Linked DNA regions of Xenopus tropicalis. The protein of the gene in region 1 interacts with the protein of each later gene in a pairwise test. Links are inferred from orthologs where the notes say so. Each region holds a gene or a part of one and is shown on either strand. Other genes may lie near its edges.

The links. The genes of interacting proteins can lie anywhere in the genome.
Region 2: the proteins of nab2 (region 1) and tceanc interact in binary tests that used the Homo sapiens proteins (3 or more experiments, as listed by UniProt). The two-hybrid records come from large-scale screens. The link is inferred for Xenopus tropicalis from reciprocal best matches to the Homo sapiens genes NAB2 and TCEANC.

The regions. Positions count from the first base shown.
Region 1 is NC_030678.2:139,246,218-139,250,155, reverse strand, and holds part of nab2 (NGFI-A-binding protein 2), read right to left. Parts: intron 3,566-3,938; coding exon 3,451-3,565; intron 203-3,450; coding exon 8-202; intron 1-7. UniProt on the Homo sapiens protein: Acts as a transcriptional repressor for zinc finger transcription factors EGR1 and EGR2. Isoform 2 lacks repression ability.
Region 2 is NC_030678.2:105,791,462-105,796,069, forward strand, and holds the start of tceanc (transcription elongation factor A N-terminal and central domain-containing protein), read right to left. Parts: upstream 3,186-4,608; 5' UTR 2,878-3,185; intron 1-2,877.

The DNA of each region.
Region 1 (3,938 bases):
ACCTTACCTGAAATATGTGGGGTACCAGGCAAGCAAAGACTGAGGCGGCCCATGCGGTCACGTGATACCAGTCTGGCTAATCGTAAACCCTCATCCATTAGAGTCTGCTGGAGAATTTGCCTACTCCATGGTGCAGGATGTGACAGGTTAAGGGAGAGGTCTGTGGGGCCGCTGGGAGATGTTGGGATTCTTATGGCCACTGCTGTAGGGAAAAGGAGTAAAACATTCATTGCTGGCGTTCTTATAAAACAAGGGTCTACAGTAGCAATGAGCAAATTCGTCTTTCTTCACTTCACTGTAAAATGTGCGAATCTTAGAAAACATTTGCAAGACAGCAAAAAATTCTCGAAACAGCGAAAATGACCCGCGTCAAAAAAATTGTCTCGCAATGTTTTTTACACGTGGCAAATTTTGGAGCCCATTTCATGAAAAAATCTGCCAGTGGCAAAATCCATGCCTGGTGAAAGATTTCACTCATCACTAATTTACAGAATTGGTGTTGGAATGGCTCCACTCAGTAATATCTGTATTATAGTACAATTCAGTTGTGGCCCTGACCTACTCACTGAGGGGACTACCTGGCTGGCAGTAATTGCAGGCTTCCCCTTTTGTCTGTCTGGGAACTATCATGTAGTTCCTCGGAGCAGGTTGGGCATGGCATTGGGGCTGACACAAGTTTTCAGGGGCATGTAATGGTGCAAGAGTAAATGAAGCCTTTGTGAATGACTGGGCAATTTCAGTGCTTTACAAATAAACTCACAATTGTAGATGAGCCTTAATAATAATAATAATAATAATTATAATGTCTTAATAATAATATGTCTGTTTCCATTTCAACAGTTTACGAAATACATTACAAACATGTCTGCAGGCCAGATGAGGGGGTGCCAGCATAGTAATTATATCACCATCAGCATGACGGCTCCCATTCAGAACATGCATACAGCTGTCACACCAAGTACTAAAGTCCTGGATATTAACTGGCTATACCACATTCTTTCTAGGAACAGACACAATAAACAACTACCAGAGCTCATACTGTGTAACTAAACTGTGGACTCATCTGTACATGTTAGTGTTGTCTAACTGGGGTAAAGGTGTTTCATTTATTCAACATACAACCAATAAATAGGAAATACATTAAAATGCATGCACACTATTATATTTTTTAACTAACTCTATCTCCTTATAAAGGAATTGTGTAACTGTTACAGTTTTCATATATTCCTATATACTAGAAAAACACCTTTCAGTTGAAAATAAATCAGAAAATGCTTTAGTGAATTACAGGAAAACTCAAAACCGTGAAAAAAGTGACATTTCTTAAAAAAAATAAAAGTTTCAGAAATTAAAAATATTTACACATGAACCATTCCATTTGCATTTTTAAGTGAAAATGGAATTGGCTGCAGTGTGCAACGTGCAACTTTCTGATAGAATTCACCATGTTTTGTGGTCATAAAGCAGTGTTTTGATCCCTGAATTCCAAGTGCATCTGCCACATTTTCAGTTAGGGTTGCATTACTTTTGGAGCTAAAACAGTATTAGTGCATATGTCTGCTGTTCCTATAAACACAACCTGCTTTGGGAACCCTGGAATAACTGGTATGTTCAGGGTGGCAGTAGCTCCAGGCAGGGCCGGAACAAGGGGTTGGCAGAAGAGGCACCTGCCTAGGGCACCACGGTGGGGGGGCGCCAGGCAAGTACCTCTTCTTTCACTTACCACTAGTTCTGGGCCCATTCCCCCCCCCCCCATTACAGTACTCCCCACAACCCTGCTGCCTTGTGTATGAGCGGGGGGGGGGGTGGCAGTTTGGGGGTATGGGGACAGGATGGGGCGGGGCGCACAGGGTCCAGGGTTCCCTTGTGTAGGGAACTGGTAAATTGTACCTTTTCTAACTCCGTGGTCCCCTAGTATTGGACAGCTACGAAGGGTTGTTAATGTAATGGGAAGTAAGTCCCTTGTTCCTTGGTCATAGCATGACCCCTTGTGCAGTTCCACAGTTTGGCCATTAGGTGGCACTGTGATATAAAAGGCTCAGCAGCCATGAGGCTGGAAGCCATTTTGTGAAGCTCTCTGCCTGAGCAAGCAGGCAGAGAGATACTGTGGAAATCTAGGAATAGGTAGGTTCAGAAAGAATAGCCAGCTCCTGTTATAGATCACACTAGGGGGCACATTTACTAACCCACGAACGGGCCGAATGCGTCCGATTGCGTTTTTTTCGGAATGATCGGTAATTTTGCGATTTTTTTCGGCGTCTTTACGATTTTTGCGTAAAAACGCGAGTTTTTCGGCGTCTTTACGATTTTTGCGTAAAAACGCGAGTTTTTCGTAGCCATTACGAAAGTTGCGCAAAGTCGCGCCTTTTTCGTAGCGTTAAAACTTAAATGGCGCAACGTTTCGCGCAAGTTTTAACGCTACGAAAAAATCGCGACTTTGCGCAACTTTCGTAATGGCTACGAAAAACTCGCGTTTTTACGCAAAAATCGTAAAGATGCCGAAAAACTCGCGTTTTTACGCAAAAATCGTAAAGACGCCGAAAAAATCGCAAAATGTTCGTTTCCAATCGGAATTTTTCCAATTCGGATTCGAAATCGTGTCTTAGTAAATCAGCCCCTAGGTGTGATAGACAGGCAGGGCTATTTAGTGAGCAGCATTTTGGCTCCGACCAGGAATTGTAAAGGGATTATAATCCCGGGTATAATACTGCCCAGAGTAGGGTTAACAGTGTACAGACCTAGGGTTAGATAGTGATCACCCAGGTTCCACTGGAAGCATATACCTGAAAGCTGGGAGTTAACCCATTGTACCCTGCAGCTAAAGGGTTATTCTGACTATGCTGTGTAAGTACTGCCTATGCTGTGAGATGCTACTACCTACCTATTCTATGCTGTAATTACACTATAAGTGGCTGTGTAAATAAACAGTTCATGGTTTCAAGGTTAAGAACCACTGGCGCCCATTTATTGAGAAATACAACAACATATATGCCTGGCCTCCATATAAAGTGAGGGCTCACCCCTGAAGGATACAGTCTCATCCTGGGTAAAATACGGTGTAGCTTGTGGTAATAGAAGGGCTAATTTACTATAAGCTTACACTTGTATCAATAGATAAACTTTGCAAGGTTTAGCAAAAGAGGTGGAATGGATGCAATGGCACTCAGCACACCTATACGGAAGTGTTTGGACATAAGTACGAGTTAAGTAAGAGTTTCTACTTCATTAGTCATTTTTAAAATGAATGCAGATGCTTATTTAGACGAATAGTACAGAATCTACCTATTGTATAATGTGCTTCAGCACATTGTAAGCTTTGGTAATTGATAGATCAGCACAGAGGCATGTACAGCAGTGACTTTAATGTTATTTTGGGGTGTTTGGATCCAGGTATAATTTATTGTTGCAGAGACAATATTGGATTATAGGTGTCACAGAGAACACGGTTACCTTGCAAACTGCCGTCCATGCTCTCCCCTGACATACTGCCACTGCCTTCTTCCACACTGTGGCGCATTGATACAGAGCCACTCTTTGTGTCTAGCTGCAAAGGCATCTCCACAGCCTGGACATATATAAAAAGATAAGAATTAGTGCCTCATATAATATAAATGGATAATAAGAACTTTCTCTCTTCTCCTATTGAAATACATTAAAAATATATTGATCTTTGTGACAAAAGCAATTGTAAAAATATTGTAGAAAAGAAAGAGTTCAATGAATGATTATGTATATATAGCTTCTAGATATATTCAATAAAAAATAAAGATTTGTTTTATCCACTAGTGAGTATTAGTCACAAATTAGTGAGGAGAAAACTGCATCAATGTCTCTAGGGGAAGCTGACTGGAGATACGGTTTCCTCACTGAATTGGATCTGACCCTTTTCCTGATACAAAGAAGGATCCTTTCATAATAAATATGGTACTATACTGCCG
Region 2 (4,608 bases), about 33 Mb from region 1:
CTGCATACTTGAAAAGCATAGTGTTAAAATGCTACATGCCCCTGCCCCTTTAAGTAAAGGTGGCCACACAAGGTAATATTTGTGAGGTTGCCTAACAAGGGAATCTTCCACCAATATGCCCTAGGGCAGGGGTCCCCAACCTTTTTTTACCTGTGAGCCAAATTCAAATTTAAAAACGTGGGGAGCAACACAAGCATAAAACATGTTCCTGGGATGCCAAATAAGGACTGTTATTGGCTATTTGGTAGCCCCTTATGGACCGGCAGCCTACAGGAGGCTCTGTTTGGCAGTACACCAGGTTTTTATGCAACCAAAACTTGACTCCAAGCCAGGAATTCAAAAATTAGCAACAAGTTGCTCACAAGCCACTGGTTGGGGATCACGGCCCTAGGACCAAACTATTGCATTACAATGTAGAGGATACGAAAAGTCGGAGCAAGGTCTGCATCAATAAGCCCCCACTCAGCAACTCCTGCAACAGAGGTATGTGACTAAGGTCCTATCGCTACAGTGCCCTCCATAATGTTTGGTACAAAGACACATTTTTCTTTGAATTGCCCCTCAGTGTAAAATTTTAAATCAATTCAGATGTGATCAATGTGCACATTCCAGACTTTACTTTAAAGTTATCTGCATACATTTAAGTTTGCTCGAGGTAGTATACAAGCGTTAGGGCTCTGGCACACGGGGAGATTAGTCGCCCGCGACAAATCTCCCTGTTCGCGGGCGACTAATCTCTCGAATTGCCATCCCACCGGTGACAATGTAAGTCGCCGGTGGGATGGCACACACGGCGGCGCGATTTCGGCAAATCGCTGAAAATACCTCGTGAGGCAACTTCGCCGATCTGCCGAAATCGCCTGCGAAGCGTGCCGTCCCACCGGCGACTTACATTCTCGCTGGTGGGATGGCAATTCGGGGAGATTAGTCGCCCGCGAACAGGGAGATTTGTCGCGGGCGACTAATCTCCCCGTGTGCCAGAGCCCTTAAAAACGCTCAATCATTATTGGCACATTTGTGTAGTACAGACCTCGAGCTACATGCCAATAAAGACTGAACGTTCCTCTTGCCATCACTCCGATACAGGTAAATCTTTGTCTAGTCTGTCAATAACACATTTTCCCAGAATTCTGTAGGCAAACTGTAATCTGGCCATTTTTGTGGCTAACTAGTTTGCCACACTGGTTTGCATCTTGCAGTGTAGCCTCTGTATTTCTGTTCATGATGTCTTCTGCAGATAGTAGTCTCTGACAAAGATACAGCTGCCTCCTGAAGAGTGTTTCTGATCTGTTGGACAGGTGTTTTAGGTGATTTTTCTTTACCATAGTGAGAATTTTTCTGTCATTAGCAGTGGAGGTCTTTCTCAGCCTACCAGTCCCTTTGCAATTACAGAGCACACCAGTACATTCCTTCTTCTGAATGATATTGCAGACAGTTGATTTTTGTAATCCTATGGTTTGACCAATGTCTCTAAGGGCTGTGACTCACGGGGAGATTAGTTGCGCCACAACAAATCTCCCTTGCCTTGAGCGGAAACTTTGGCGACTACGGCAAATCGCGCCACCGCATATGCCATCCTACCGGAGATTTACATTCTAACCAGTGGGATGGCATTGCGGGGAGATTAGTCGCCCGTGACAAGGGAGATTTGTTGTGGCGCGACTAATCTCCCCGTGTGTCACAGCCCTAAAGGCTACTAAACTCCAGAAAATATCCTGCCATAGACAATACTGAGAATTGCCTTTGCTAAAACACATGTAGAGACAATTATCAGTAAATGATCAGCATTGTCTATTTTAGTAGCCACAACAAGTAGCTGCTACTAGTAGCTCTGTGTGTCTTCACCCTAATGGTTTTATTCTTGTTTTTCAGCCTTATAATAGCTTCCTTGACTTTCATTAACATAAGCAAGCAAGGTATCTTATCCCTGCACTAATGAAGCAATAAAACACACCTGAGTTATCTCAAACACCTGTAAATCCAATCGTCCCAAACATTATGGTGCCCTGAAATGAGGGGGACTATGTATAAAAAGTGTTGTAACTTCTACATAGTAAAAACTAAAATACATGCAAATAACTTTCATTTTAAGTCTGGAATGTGCACTTTAATCATGTCTTAATTGCTTGATTTAAAATTATACACTGAGCAGCACAGGGGTAAATTTAAAAAATTTGGGTCTTTGTCCCAATCATTATGGAGGGCACTGTCCTTTTAATTCTGGCCCTGCATGTATAGGGTCCTTTGAAAGCCTCTCTAAGGGCTCTGGCACACGGGGAGATTAGTCGCCTGCGACAAATCTCCCTGTTCGCGGGCGACTAATCTCCCCGAAATGCCATCCCACCGGTGAAAATGTACATACGCAGCGGCGCGATTTCAGTGAAATTGCGAAAGTTGCCTTGAGAGGAAACTTCCGCAATTTCACTGAAATTGCGCGCCGCCGCGTATGCCATCCCACCGGCAATTTACATTTTCGCTGGTGGGATGGCATCACGGGGAGATTAGTCGCCCGCAAACAGGGAGATTTGGGCAAAGATAAGTCAGATAGCGATTGTGTATAAACACAGAATACAGAGTAATAACTGCGCTAGGAGTAAACAAATAAAAAGCAAGTAAAAGTCAGCTGCACCACAAATCGTGGATCCAATAGTCCACTTGTAAATAATAAAAGTTCCCCACAGGTGCGCTTGTTCCAGACACCTTCACAGCTCCTCCACGTCACAGCAATACTTTACAAAGTAGCCTTTTCATATATGCACCTCACAGTAAGTGGAGACAAACATGTATCACTTTTCTCCCTGTTCTAAAACAAATGGCCAGGGATCATGAAGCATGTACTGGATCGTGAACAATTTCCCTGCTACTGGATCTACTCACTGTGTCTCAGATTGCAAAGTGCATATCACGCCGTTTACTACTCCATATTCTCCCTCCGTGCTGATAACAAAGACTTCCTCCTGTCCTGAATTCCACAAGCGACCACGTGACTCCCTCTGGTCAATCACGTTGTCCCTTCTCTCCTGTGTGAGAGGAATGCAACAAAGCAAGGGGGGGTGGGAGGGGGAAGCGTGCAGAGGTAGGATTCAATCAGGCTGTGTAGTTATGCCCATAGGCGGATTTTCAATAAGGCTTGGGGAGGAACCTGCTTTGGCACCTTAAAACCTGGCTCTGTTTCTGCACTTCCCTGCAAATCTTCTCTGGGTTCTGCAGAAATCAGCTGTGCTCTGATTGGATCTTTGTTCTTGTGGATTCACCAATCAAAGCACAGCTTTCTGGACAGGCAGTAAAATTTACCAATCAAGGCTTAGATGCAGACAGGGATCGGGAAATTTTGCTGGAGGCAGTGCAGAATTGAAGACTAAAAAAAAAAGAATGTGCGGGCTGTAAACTTTACCCAAGAACCAACTTTGAACTTTTGCTGCAGTTTTCATCCCACAGATACTATACACAAGTACTATACATGTTCTAAAGACTGACCCACTAGCTGAAATTAAATTGGTTTTTGTCACCTGACATATATAATATCCCTATCCCCTACCCTAACAGATGGAGGGTAAGTTAACTTTTCCCCCCGACAAAGCTCATTGTGCTTTAATATATTTGTTATGGTTTTTTGCACTATTTTTCTTTTACCTTTGTCATTGTTTTTTTCATTTCTAGTTAGTTACAGTGGAGCCCATGCTGTGTATCAGTGCCAGTGTTATAGTGCCAGGGCCTGAATATCTGCCATCTGTACCCACTGCTCCTCATGGCATATAATGTGCTGGTTTTGTATATAAAGACTGCGTCTCACTGTATATAACGTGCTTGGGATGTCAGTACCTGCTGCCTCTCTCTATAAAGCTAACTTAAACACATCTAAAGGGGTGGTTCACTTTTAAGTTAACTTGTAGTATGTTATAGAATGGCCTATTCCTAGCAGCTTTGCAATTGGTCTTCCTAGTTAATCTTTTATAGTTTTTAAATAATTTGTCTTTCACTTCTGCCTCTTTCCAGCTTTCAAATGAGGGTCACTAACCAAAAAGTATTGCTCTGTGAAGCTACAGTTTTATTTTTCCATACAGGCCCCTAAACTATTCATATTCCCATCTCTTATTTAAACCACTACCTGGTAAATAAGACCCTAGCAACCAGATAGCTGCTGAAATACGAAATGGAGAGCTGCTGAACAATAAGCTAAATAACCGGAAAACCATTAAAAATAAAAGAGGACCAATTGCAAATTGTCTCAGAATATCAATGTCTACCTTATATTAAAAGTTAATTTAAAGGTGAACTACCCCTTGAAGCTAACTGATCACAAACATAAATGTATAGAGAACCCCTAACAGAAGTGCACGTATGAATGCTTTTACATCCTAAGCATTTTAGGGTTAAAAAAAGCACCCCCACCTGCACTTTTGCACAGTAACCCTGGAAGTCAGTGGCAAGAGGTAGTTGGGAGGTTAATTTTTTACACCAGCAGTGAATCCACTAAGTCTCACATTAGCTGTAGGTCAGACTCTGTCTTCAGCCTCCCCAAACAAAAAAGTCACCCTCCGCCTATGGTTATGCCAAAGAACATTTATTTGATCATAATAAAAGCCCAACGCGTCTCGTATGAAAATA